Linked DNA regions of Drosophila melanogaster. The protein of the gene in region 2 purifies or fractionates together with the protein of the main gene of each other region. This does not show direct contact. Each region holds a gene or a part of one and is shown on either strand. Other genes may lie near its edges.

Region 1 (5,655 bases), 6.4 Mb from region 2:
TTTCGTTGGGATCCCGGGCGGCCGCGATGGCCTGTGCCTGATTCATCTTGGCAACCTTCTCCTCATCAGGAAAGATGCCCTCGTCGACGCGCTGCTGGTAGAATTCATCAACAGTCATAATGGGCAAACTGGGGTATCCCAAGCCGAAAACCGCCTTCTGGGTGGCATTACGTGTTATGATGAAGGGCTGCAAGGGCTTTGGCTTAGCGGCCTGCTGATGATGGTGGTGGTGTCCGGGTCCGTGGCTGTGACCATGACCGCGGGAGGTGGACGATGCAGAAGATTGATTTTGATTCGGTGGACGGAACGAATCCACTTCGTTGTCGGATTCGCCACCAGCCAATCGGGCAAGGCGCATCTGGGCCAGCTGCTTCATTACGCCCAATGTTTCTAATTCCTGCTTGGAGTCTATTATACTCTTGTCCAAATACTTGAGGAAAAAGACACGTTTATCCTCATCGTCGACCGTTTTGTTCTTGACTGCATCGCGCATTCTGGCCATATACTCGTCAATCTCCTTCATCCGGCGATACTGGGCTATTTTGTCGTTTCTATTGAAGGCTGCCTCTACCAGCTCGCGCTGCTCGCTTTTTTCCGCTTGGCTATCCGCCTTAGCCACCTGAGATTTGGGCGCTGCACAGAGATCATACTCCTGGCAACGCTGCAGGTGGTCCTTGAAGTAAATCTCGCCCAGCTCTATGGAGTGTGTGTTATTGGGGCTGTTGATCTTAGTGGTAAGCTTGCCCAGAAAGTAAGGGAGCAGCATGAATGGTAGCGATTCCGTGGACACCTCGTCGATCAACTCGTTGGCACTGAACATGCTAACCTGGTTCACAATGACGGTGGCCTGCTCGAAAAGGCCCATTGCAGTCTTCACTTTGTTCTAAACGTTGTGGTAAACGTTCAATGCTGGTTTTTATTACATATATATGAAGATCTTCAATATTACACACCTGAAATTCGCTGCCATTGAAGGGCAGTTCGGTAACTTCTAGCTCGTCGAATATGTTCCAGCCCTTTAGAAAGATGTCCGTCAGCTTTTGGTCCTCTCCGCCAGCGGTATTACCCTCAGCCATTTAAAGATTTGGATATAAGTTTATAGTTAATGGGTATTTTCAATAATATAAATAATATTGCGAAAATAATGTGCAAGATGCCGACGCCGAAACAGCTGTTTACAAAATGAAGGTACGCAAAATACCAGATAAACCAGGGCTGGTGTATAAAAAAGTTCTTACAAATTTCTAGCTATATTTATGTCGTTAAGTTTGTAAACATTTATGGTGACACCATTGAAGCCCGTGTAAGATGTCTTATGGATGACCTATAGCACATTTGCTTTAATACAATTGTTATTAAAAATTTCGATGAATAAAATAATACCAGAATGTAGCAAAAATCCTTTATTAAACCATTAAAAAGTCTAAGGATCTAGCTAAAAATTTGTTTCTGGTTTATGGTGTCTGTAGGAGTAGATGCAATCCGATGGAATTAGCCCTTTAGCGTGGACTCGAGCTCATTGTTCGCCAGCAGTTCCTTAATAATATCGAGTCCGCCGATAAGTTCACCCTTGACGTAAACCTGGGGATATGTGGGCCAGTCGGAGTAGGTTTTCAGGCCTTGACGCACTTCTTCGTCGCCGAGGATGTCAAATGTCTCGTACGGCAAGCTATCGAAGGATATTTTCGTTTATAACTTGAAATCAAATACAACTGATGATCAATTTGCATACTTGGTTTCGTTCACAATGCCGATGAGCTGCTTGGAGAATCCGCAACGCGGTCCATTTCGGTCGCCCTTCATGAATATCATCAGCGGAGCTGTATTGATTAGGGCCTTTAGGCGTTCCTCCAACGTTTGTCCTGTTGCCGCCGCGCTGCTTGCGTTTTCGGCCAACTTTTTGGATTTGGCGCTTATGGCGGCGATGTCTACACCATCGACACGGTCAACGGCGGAGCCCTTGGCGAAGAATATGACTGTGGGCACGGCCTCGATCTGGTGGCATCGCAAATGAATGAGGAACTACTGTTATATTTTCATAAAATAAATACGAGCGTACCTGATGTTTCATGGAAATCTCGGGAAATTGTTCAGCGTTTAGGCTGATGAACTGCAGTTTTTCGCCAGTAATCTTGGCCAGCTCCTCCAGCGCGTCTTTCACCTGACCGCATTGCTCTGCCCATTCGGCGGCGAATAGAGCTACGGTCGTCTTATCCGCATTAATGTACTTCTGGTACTCCTCGGCAGCCGACACGTTCACCACGGGCATGATTTCTTTGAATTATTTAACTAAATTTGCTGGACAAGCAAAATTTACAAAAAGCAGACCGAATTATCAGCTGTGGAAGAGAGTTGCCACTTTCCGTAAAGAAGTCAGCGCTGGTAGCTATAAAATAACAACCTATAAATGGCTAAAAATATATAAAATTGTATTAAAATGTATAAAGCAAGCGTTTCATGAAGTATCAAAACTAGCAATTTAAATATTCTTTTTATTATTCTTTTTTTCTTTATTTTATTCTTTGAAAATTATTTCATTAGCTTGAGTTTTTGTTGTCATTTTCAGTACAGCTCATGCATTTAGAGCTGTTGGACGAAATTTGGAGAAAATGTCGTTTCAACATCTGGCAACATCGAACGGCAACACGTGCGGTCGTGCCGTACCGTATTCAATATACACAGCTCACTTATTTTTCGCAACTAAAAGTTGAATTAGCCGGATAATGGTGACGCGCAAGAAGCCAGTTAAGCGCAACGCCGAGGCGGCCGAAATCCAGGTCGAGCAGGAGGAGGACGCTTCACAGCCGAAGGTGGCCAAGGAGCTGATGGTGGTCGCCCAGGAGGTGAAAATTATACGTGCTCTTGCCTGCAACGATGTGGTGGAGCGTAATCGCCAGATCCGCATTTTGCGCAAGTGGTTCAAGGCGCGTGCCGGTAGCTCCTTTCCCTTCAACGAGGACGACTTCATGCGCATCTGGAAGGGATTGTACTACACCATGTGGATGTCGGATAAGCCGCTGGTGCAGGAGGAGCTGGCCGAGAAGTTGGCTCAAATGGTGGACAGCTTCGGCGGTAATACGGCCTGCAGTCTGGCCTACTTTAGTGCGTTTATGCGCACAATGTGCCAGGAGTACTTTGGCATAGATCAGTGGCGCATGGACAAATTCCTGATGCTCACCCGCCGCATGGTGCGTTATCTACTGAGATTCCTCAAACAGAACAACTGGAATGCGGACCTGATAGCCGCATTCAACAGCAGCATGCAGCTTTCTGTGATGTCGGAGCAGCCTAAGTCTCGCGGCATGACCATGCACTACCTAGATGTTTTCTTTGAGGAGCTGGCCAAGGCGGCCAATGGTGAGATCACTGCTGCTCAGGTTAATATGTTCTTGCGTCCGTTTGTCACCTACATTGCTACACAACGCGATGCTAAGCTAGTGGCACAGTGCCGCACAAGGGTACTCTATCATCTGATGTACCAGAGCGACTTAGGACGACAGTACAGCGAAAAGTACAATGCCTGGAAGCAGATGGGTTTCCCCACCGCCTCCATTGATGACATTGAGAAACTAGATTCTGGATTTGACGAGGAGGATGACGAGGTCAACGCCGAGGAGGAGCAGCCGCGGGCCACATCCTTGGATCCCCGAGCGGGCAACGTGGACGTTCACATGCCGGAGCTGCCGCTCAACGCTGATTGCGTACTAGATGAGCTGCAGACGCAGCTACGCACCAACGATTTTAACAGCAAGAGACGCAAGGGATTGCGCAAACTTATCCAGATCTTTGAGACTTACCAGAGAGGAGAGTTTCCACTTGGCGTGAGGACAATGCCAAAGGTGGAGGGACAAACTCTGTCCGAAATGGTGGAGCAAAAAGTGGCTGCCTTAGATAAGATGGAGGACGAGGTCTTTGCAACCGGAAGAAAACTGAAGAAGCTCAACAAATCCAAACGCAAACGCCTACTGCAGTCCATTAACTTTGAGGAGGTGGACGAGCACAACTACGATGAGGTTATTAGCAAGGCTCTGCCTCCTGAGCTGCAGAAGAAGGTGAATTACAATGCAAAGGTGCGTTCTAGCATAAACAACGCATGGGTAGTAGAGGAGGTCAAGGAGGCCGAGCCCAAGTCGAAGAAAGCAAAAAAGGAAGAACCGCCACAGCAGAACAAAGATGACCAGACGAAGGTGAAGAAGAAAAGCCAGCTTAAGCCGAAGAATGACCAGTCCAAGCCCAAGATAGAGGATCAACCGACCTTGAAGGCAGAAAAAGAAGAGCCTGCGAAGCGCAAGAAATTGGACCACTCCAAGACGAAGGAGGAGCAGTCGAAGCCGAAGACAGACGAGCAGCCCAAGCCCACACCTAAGGTGGAGGGACAGTCCAAGGCCAAGCCGACTCCCAAAACGAAGGCTGCCGGTGTTGATGATGATGCTCCGACCAACGGATGGGATGCCCCTTTAGAGGACGGTGAGCAGGACATCTTTGTTCCCTCTCGAAAACTGCAAGTGAAGCAGGCCAACAGTAAGCTGCCGCAGTCCACACCCAAACAGCCTGCGCGCGCAGAGTTTGCGACTCCACAAACGGGCAGTGGCAAGCATGTGCGGATCGTGACTAAGAGCAACTGCATCTACCCCAAGAGCGATTACTACCGCCAGCTGAAGCTGTCTCCGCAGGTGCCCTACGACGCGAATCGGTTGCCCGGTAAGAGTGCCCTTAAGCCACACTGGATACCGGGACCGATTCATCCGAGCTACAAGGCCAAGCGCTTGTTCAACGACACTCTGTGACAAAGCGTCTAGTGGCAGCGACTGGGATTGGGACAGGATGAGGAAGATTAATTTGGACTTAGTGCTCTGAGGGACGATGAAGAAGGGGGAGCGCTTCGCATCATACTACTTCCTTATAAGGCAGTATAAGATAACACATCCACAATAGGCATGTCTTATGCTGGTTTTATAATACGTCTATACACACGAAAGTTTCCATGCTATATTTTTCTATTTTACAATGTTAAAGCCCTTTTGTTTAGTTTCGAGAGCACCGTTACTATGCTTAAATATTTCAATTTTCTAGAATAGTTGAAATTTACGATAGTTCCGTGTTGCCTTGACTAATTTCTACTCAAATAAAATCCGTATAAGACATGTACTAAATGTAATCCCCTAATCTTTTAGTAGTTACAATTACGACTTAAAATACTATTGCTTGTAGGCCATTTTATGTTCAAGCTATCCTCTGATCTGAGTTGAAATAAAAGCAAACGTAGTATATGTAAAATCAAATACGAATCACAAAGTTTATTTAATTACCAGGTACAGAAAGAACTAAGTAATTTAGCATTTTGATGGGCTAACAATTCCAGCTTTCAAATTTCAAAACTATATTTTTTCGAGCAGAGAATGGGGAAAACGAATGTATATCAATAGCTATTTGATAGTTAATAGCTTATTATTATACCAACATTTTGAAAATAAATATGTCATTATTATTTTATATCATGGTTGGGCAAAAGAATCGTCAAAATACTGCTCATGACTCTTATGAGCTTAGTCTGTTCCACTCAAAGCCACATATTTGACTCACTCAGAACTGCGCTTGAGTCTTGAGATTGCAGTTAACATTCCGTTAACATTCACTCAATTGGTAGTTGAGCTA
Region 2 (8,113 bases):
ACGTATATCTCTATTAATCTTCCATAGCAGTGGGAGATCTAAATGACTTTCAGACGTGTCCTTAACGCCGCCATTGACCTCAAACATTTGTGGAGCTTCCCCGAGAACCCAAGAGATGCACTTTCACTTACAACAAATCGACAAACTCTGGCAAACAAACAACGAACCGCGGTCGACGGCTGATCTAAAGAGACTAATTTTGGCTTTAGTCCACGTCCACGACGACGGTGGAGAAAAGCCAGCGAAACGTCACTGCCGGCCACGCCCTATCAGAGGGTATATGCACTTGGTTCAGTTGCTTGGAGCATAACAATGGGAAATAAGGAATAATAATATCTGATGATCCTAATGAGGATCGTATATGGTACTGTACATATATTCACTGTTACCTAAACATTTATAAATAAAATTAGGGATGTATATTCCTAATAAGAGTATAACTAAGCTATTATAGATTATTAATTAAAGTTGAAGAAATCATAAAGTATTATAGAAGAATATACTTGATATATAATATAAGAAGATTCTTTTAATGTTTTATAAAAATTCAGTATTTCCATTTGTTTATCATTCGTATGATCTAACTGAACTATTATTTAAGTTATCGGCAATAAAAGTTAGTGAATAGAATGGTCGGCTTTCTCATCCCTTCTCCTACATTTTGTTTTGTTTTCAACGGCAACTGATAGCACGTAAATAGCATACACACGGAAAATGTATATAGAAGAGAGAGCGGAGTGGAAGAGAGTCCAAGTCCAGATGGGGAGCATAAGCTGCAGACATATGGCTCCAAAACTAAGAGGGAGCCACATATGAAGAGCGGAGGAGAGTGGTCAGGCTTACCGATGAAAATGCCATCGTTAAATGCTTCACTGTGAGAACATTTTAAACAATAAGTATGATGTGAAATGGTCCATGAGAATACGAGTTATACTAACTAAGAGTCTAAAATCAAAACATTTATTGTGATTTTTATTGCCAACCTCTTAAAATCGAGGGAGGCTCGTCTCTAGCAGTTTATTTCACATTGAGCTTATCAATAGCAAGATAAGCCCAAGAGTACTACTTATTAGTTTCTGTATTCACTGGGAAAATACAAGTGGCTAAAGCGACTGCGACTTGTCATTGCTTCGACCTTAGGTTGTATATTATTCCGAATATTATTAATTCGCATGTTTACCAAGTTGAGCATAACTCAATACACACTCGAAATTTATATAAAAAAATACATATTATTAACAAGCATATGTACATATGCCATTTAATCGCCAGAATAGAATTGGAATATGCTTCGTTGACGTCAAGAAAAGTCTTAACAGTCCAAAGTATGAAACTAAAAATGATAACTTCTCTCAACAAATAGATCCATGAGTTTTGATGACTGCAAAGGTATCTACATGTATATAAGCATATGGAACTCCATTCCCTCCAAGACTCATTCTTAATCGGGTAAACTATTAATATTTTTTCGAGAGCATTCCTGCTAACCCGTAATTACCAATCAATTTGAAACATTTAACTTTTACCTCCTCACTCTATTCCGCACTTGACAATGGGTGTCTCACTAAAATGGCTGTCTGAAAACCCGCAATTATTTTGCCATTGTTAAGTGCATTTCCATCCACCCCGATTCAATCCAATCCCACCCGCTTCCGCCCGCCCACTTGGGCGGCAGGACATGCGCAGGGCGTGGCAGTCGCCAACCCCATACATCAGTATTCCCGCTGCTTAACCATATTAGTTGCTACTTTGTGTTGTCAATTGGATTTGATTGCCCGGCGAGGGGGCGGGCATCAAGCTACACCACCCACCCACCCAGTAACACTTCTCCAGCATTCGCGTAATTCGCTCCGTTCCGTTTATTGTAAGCACTATGTTCTGGATAAGAAGTCGCAGGGAACTAATGTATCTTAAAATGGAAGTTCTCGAATACAATCACTAAATTTGATTAGTTATTAGACTTAATACATGACTAGAAAACTCGTTCAAGAACTCGTTGGTATTTACACGGCTTTTCGATTCAATTCAAATATGTATCTGGGGGGAAATACAACTATAATTATAGCAAAATAAATATGTTTCTTTTGGACAAGATCAAAACAGCTAGAGTAGCTGGATGGTATCTGTTATAATCAATCAATTAATTCAATGGTGAAACTGATGGGTAAGTTTCCACAATTATAAGGAACTATAGTTCGTACTAAATCGTAATAATAGATATTTTCAAAATGGTATAACCATGCTCGCGCTGATAATATATGTGTTGTTTTGTAACTTCTGTGCTTGTCTAATAGAAAAGTCATTTAGTAAAAGAAACTGATATTTTTTGATTTGAAAATCTCTTTTAGTTGTATTTCCCCCAACTGAAACACCGAAAACTTTACTACTTTAGGATCCAGGTCCACATCCCGATCGAACTGTCTATGTTAACTGGTAGAGTTTCGCATCGCCGACGATGTCCACGTCGCTGGAGTTGTCCTCGTCGCCACTGTCCGCCTCCAGATCGGAGTAGTCATCCGTGGAGTAACCCTGCTGCATCAGGCACATCTGCAGCTGCTGCTCGCTCGTCGGCTGAGTGGGTGTGCCGCCGACAGATCCGGGATTCAGTTTGCCGTGCTTGGAGTCCCCGGATGAGGAGGTGGCCTCGCCCGGCTGCTTGCCCGGTTCGCTGCGTGAGAAGTCGACGGGCTCTGCGGCATGGAAGAGTCAAAGAAATTTCCACAAAATTTAGAACTAATTTGATTTGCGTTGAAACTTGAGCAAAACTTTTTGCATCACAAGGAGCCGGCTAAAAGCCAAAAGGTCTAATTGATAGTCCAAAAGTTCCTCAAAGAAACTACTCACTCCAGTGGTCTAGTTTTTGGTGCTTTGTGACCAATTTGAAAACCGCTGACCACTCCTGCTCGAAATGCCTTTTGACAATTTAATTGCTAACTCAAATATTGCATTGTCTAAAAGCTGGAAAACTTGAGCAACTCTTTTTCGCTCTAGTTGTTCTTAACAGCCCAGAAAAGGTTTGAATATTAAATAACTTGATTTGAGTATTATAAATTTCGTAATATTTAATTTGCTCATAATAAATTTGTGATTATGAAATCAATATACTCACCATTGGCATTGTCGCGCCGGCGCAGCTGCTTTTTGTGCTTCATGCGGCGGTTCTGGAACCAGGTCTTCACCTGCGTCTCGCTGAGTCCCAAGGCGGTGGCCAGCTCCACACGCTCCGGCGTGGACAGGTATCGCTGTCCCTCGAACCGCTTTTCCAGACCGGACAGCTGCGGATCACTGAACACCGTGCGAGCCTTCCTCCGGCGGCAGTGGCGCAGGGCATTCACGCCCATTCCCAGTCCGAGGGCCAGTTCCGGCACACAGCCAGGCGCTCCGAAGAAGGGCGCTCCCCCGAACAGGCTGGCTGAAAGGGCAAAGGATGCAAAATTTGGTTAACTTCGTTATAGTTGGAACAAATGAAAACTTTCGGTGTTGATGGCCATTTACACCGAATATTTCGAGTTTTAGTGCCCCTAAATGAAGCTATGTGGCAACAAAAAACTGCACTTCAACATCAGTTGTCCTACTAATTTGGGTTTCATTTTGAAAAAGTTCTAAATGTGAAATTAAATGTTGTGCTGGCTTTTTAATGAGAATATGTCCAACTTCATTTTCGATTAGCTAAACTCTAGCTAGAATTGACTTTTAATTTCTATGAGTTCGACTTTAACTTATTACCAACATGTTTGTATGTACCAGTACAAATCAGAATCATCTAGGAGGATATCTCTGTAATATCGAGCATTAACTCACCTTGTGATAGAAAATAGGGATCCACGGACTTGTAGGTGCCCGACGACGGCGAGAGATATCCGAGGGTCATTTGAAGAAATCCGTGATCGGTGTAGGGTGCATTCGGATAGAGTACTCCATTGGATGCACCACTACCTCCATTCAGGGGCGGCGGAGGCGGAGGTTGAGGTTGAGTCGTGGGCACCGGCGGATGTTGTGCTGCTCCAGATCCCAACTGCTGCGAAATCTGATCTCCGTTGTAGTGGGAAGTTCCGTGTCGCGAGTGGTGGTTGGACCTACGAAGCAAGTGGTTCAATTAGGGGTCTATTGGTATTTCGATGTTAAACTATTCTCTTTATGTCCAATAGTGATTTTTATGCTAATATGCTTAAATACAAATATATATTCCCAGATACATTAAGCTTTATGGTAAGCCTGATTTCTATGTTTCCAAAATATCATTTTTCTTACAAAAAATATTCTATAATTTAAAAGAACATAATCCAAAGTAAGATTTTAAAGGTGTATGCTATTCCAAAATATTTGTCTTCAAGAAGGTGTGACTATCTATCGTATTTGATGTTTCATGTTTACTTCTTATTCTTTTATAAATTCACTTTGTTAATATTATCTTATTTTTTATTTATTTTTTTTTTATTTTAATTACTTTTTTTCACTTTTCTATGCAATTATATTGGCTTAAAATTAAAGTTTTTTAAACTAAAATTTCACTGCAGTAGTATTAGGCCTTGGAATTCGGAAACCAACCGTGGAGTGCTGTGCATGGACTTGCCGTAATCCTCGCCAGCGTAACCCGACGCAGCCTGGTTGCTGCGGGCAGTAGCCGTCGCGGATGCGGATGCGGACGCCGGCGGATGTGACTGCGGCGGATGCGAATGTTGCGACGGATGTTTGTGCGGATTATTGTCGTGGGCAAATGCGCTTCTGGCACTTTTCACCGCGTTTCTGCTGCTCTTTGGCGCGTAGTTGTTGGTGTTTGCGGCGATGCCGTTGGTATCACTACTATTATTGTTATTGCTGGCACTATTTAAGTTTTGAAACAATATGTGCTCGATGGAAAACGGCGTTTTTGTGGTCAGCATTGTGGTGGCACTGGCCATCGCCGCCGCCTTGCTGTGCGTGGGCGTGGTGGCGTTGGCATGAGCATGTGCGTCCGCAGGACTCAAGCTGGCCTCATTAAGCATTGCCATTGCGCTGGAGGATGGCCGAGCAGGAGGAGCACGAGGAGCAGTGATGGAGACCGGAGCCAGGAGATGTGCCAGCCAGCCGGGATATATACGTGTCCTTGGACCGCGCGCGCGCTTATGTTGTTTGCTCGTTGACGGTCGCGTTGAGTTTGCGGCAATCACCGCACATCAACCAGCAAATTGCTCTAAACGAGCTGCCAGCAGACATGTGCGAGCGAGCCGGCGATATGGTCCTGCATCCTGCGAAAAGGGGAAAATCGAAGGGGGGGAAAAAATGCGAGCGCAGGCAGTGCCACCCCCTCCTCAATCCGGCTGCAGTTGGCCCGCTTTGCGGTGCCCGCTTAGAGCGGCAATATTCGGGGAATCCCCGTAAGCGGGCACATGAACACACCCCTCGATTTGCATGCGCATAGGGTTGTCCTGCTCTGGCAGGATTTTGAGCACCCATCTCTCTGCTGGCATCCACTGGACATGCGATTAGTGCGGAAAAACCTTAGTTTAATTGACCCCCGTTAGCCGCAAATAAGTTGCACAACTATGCGTCCTTGCTCTGCCGCCATTTTGCGAGGCAGGCACATCCTGCCACGTCCCCAGCCGCCCATTTGGCACCCACTTGTCATAATTAACGTGTCACGGCCGCCATTGTTGGCTGTCTGGCTGATGATGTGCGTGCATTAAATGCCACAATTATTATAATTGAATTAAACAATCGATTCTGCTGCTGTGACAGGATAATTGCTAGGTGGAGCCAGCGCAACTGTACCCGCTGGGTTGGGGCCAAGCATTCGCCTGCTTTGCATTCAGATATTTTTTCCCCGCGCGGTTAATTGAATCAGAGCCCCACATAGCCGTACACCACCCACCAAGGACACCCGGCCCCCTCCGCACCCAACCAAGTGACACCATCGAAAAAGGGGGCGTGCCTCCTTTCCAGCAAGCCACCAATCGGCGAAGAGCTCGCCGAGGGGTTGCTTTCGCAACTATACTCGTCCTGTTTCGTCCTGTTGCTTTGAGAATCAGTCTTTCCTCACAGCGGAAAGTCCTTAATTCCTTCAGAGAGAGGGAAATATGGGGGGGGGGGGTCTCCACAAACAGAGCAGGAAGGAAGGACAATAACGAGACATCGCCGAGAGAGAAAAAGCATATGACGACGATGCGACCAAAAAGCAAGACAAATTTGCTCGTTTTATTAATAAAATAAGTCACGCAAACTAAGTCGAACGTCATTATTAGGTTAAAGCCCTAAAATGGGCGCATTAGGATGGCATTCGAGTGATCGCGGTGATGGTTGGGTCTGCTTGGGGATGTGCTGCCCTGTTCCTGGGCAAAAATATCTCAGCTTCTCTAAGGACATTGGGGGGTTATGGGGTTTGTGTTAACGAATAAAAATATTTAATTGTATTTAAAAGATATTAGAATAATAGTACTTAAAAGTGATAACCTAATTTCAGAAGTGCTCTACCAATTTTAAAATTATTAAATTAAAAAGATATAAGATTCATAGTTCCTAAAAAGACAACGTTTTTCTTTTAATATCTATTTTATAATATTCTTTTCATTTTCTATAAATCTATTTTATGAAATCCCATCTAAATTAAATTTTAATTTAAGGGTTGTATACCTTAATAATAAATATATTTATTATTATTATTTATTATTTATTATAAATATATTTATTATTACATATATGAGAAATAAAAACTGATATTTATCTTAGAGAAAGAATATTAATAGAATAAAATATCTCGAGACTATAGTTACATATAGTTTAGAGCTCCATAGAAGTGGAAAGCTGGAAAAAGGTATCCCAGCCAGAGATGAGCACTTCTCTCACCTGGCCGAAAGCTCTTAACTGGCTGCTCCGCCTCCACATCCACCTCCTCCTCCATGGACTACTCTTCGGTGTCATCCATTGTTAACCCGCTGACATGAACGTGCCAAAGGGCCTTTGTGAGGACATATATTTTGTTCAGTTCTTTTTGAGTCTGCTCGGTGGCGTGTCTACCTTGCGTTTTTTATTGATTTTTCTCGCTAGGTGGAAATCAGCGGATTTGCGAGCAGAGATTCCCATGGCCAACTATGAGGGCAGATCATATTTTTGAGCCATCATTTAGTCTGCCTAATTTCCCATTGTTGCACGTGCCCCGTCCGACGGACTGAGCCTAATTTTTATAATAATAAAAATGCTACTACGTCTGGGGCATCGAATTGCCAGCCACTTTGCGGTTTAAGCTGAAGGAGGGTGCTTTTCCTTGGGGCAATTACAACATTTTGTGTCAGTTTGTCTGGCAAATCCTTCTGCGCTGTCTACATGAACGTCTCCTTGCCTCCTTTTTTGTGTTAGCATAATTCCCTGGAATCAAAGCTGAAGTGTGTCACCGATCAGGTTACATAAGCCATAGGTCGCGCTCGACCTCGCAACAGGGGTGAATATTGGCGGCACATTGCCTCAGATCCTCTTTCCGCATTTAAGTTTGATTCTCGGTAAATTAACTTCTGATACAAGCAACACAAACTTGAACATCCTTGCGGGTCCTTTGTTTTTGGGAGCAGCGCTCAAGTGGCTACATCCTTACGCAACCTTTGTTGTATTGGATTTTTGTTTTTTGCTAATCCTTCAAGGATGAAAAAATCGTACTTGTAGTTCCTGTTTAAGGATAATTGAATAACGAATTCAATTCAGCTCAAGCTAAAATTAAAGTTGCTTATTTTTACAAATTGATGCAGACTTCCTTTACGTAATGACTTAAAGCTACAAATTGAAAGTCTGCCAAGACTTATCTAGTTTAATCAATCTGATCAAAAGGCAATGCGATGATTTAAAAAATTGTAGCATTAAACTGCAATTATAGCTCGATATCACCTGAATCGTTCAAAGCTATTAATAGAAAAAAAAGATGTTCAAAGAAAACGCTTGGTCTTAATCTATGGTAAGAATGTATGTCATTATAACATAATTTTTTTTAAATAATTATGCAAACTCTGCCCTTGTAAGTATTGTAAGTATTGACATGATGCATCATAAATGTTACTAAATTGTCGCCAATTTCAATATCAGGGATTATGCAGTTTCATTGTTACTTTTTTTTCATTTCCTACTGACAGTATACGAGTATTTTCACCAA

The links.
Region 1: the proteins of bsh (region 2) and Grx3 purify together in Drosophila melanogaster (affinity purification with mass spectrometry, with the first as the bait; one large-scale study listed by BioGRID). This does not show direct contact.

What each region holds. Positions count from the first base shown.
Region 1 is NT_033779.5:13,363,145-13,368,799, reverse strand, and holds Grx3 (glutaredoxin 3), read right to left. Parts: upstream 2,354-5,655; 5' UTR 2,270-2,353; coding exon 2,060-2,269; intron 1,996-2,059; coding exon 1,733-1,995; intron 1,670-1,732; coding exon 1,492-1,669; 3' UTR 1,390-1,491; downstream 1-1,389. Other genes in the region: Tap42 (Two A-associated protein of 42kDa), read right to left, coding at 1-883, 954-1,076; Nnp-1, read left to right, coding at 2,724-4,787.
Region 2 is NT_033779.5:19,763,939-19,772,051, forward strand, and holds bsh (brain-specific homeobox), read right to left. Parts: upstream 5,130-8,113; 5' UTR 4,992-5,129; coding exon 4,549-4,991; intron 4,077-4,548; coding exon 3,802-4,076; intron 3,413-3,801; coding exon 3,110-3,412; intron 2,691-3,109; coding exon 2,422-2,690; 3' UTR 1,838-2,421; downstream 1-1,837. UniProt on the Drosophila melanogaster protein: DNA binding protein that function as transcriptional activator. May play a role in the determination and function of cell types in the brain.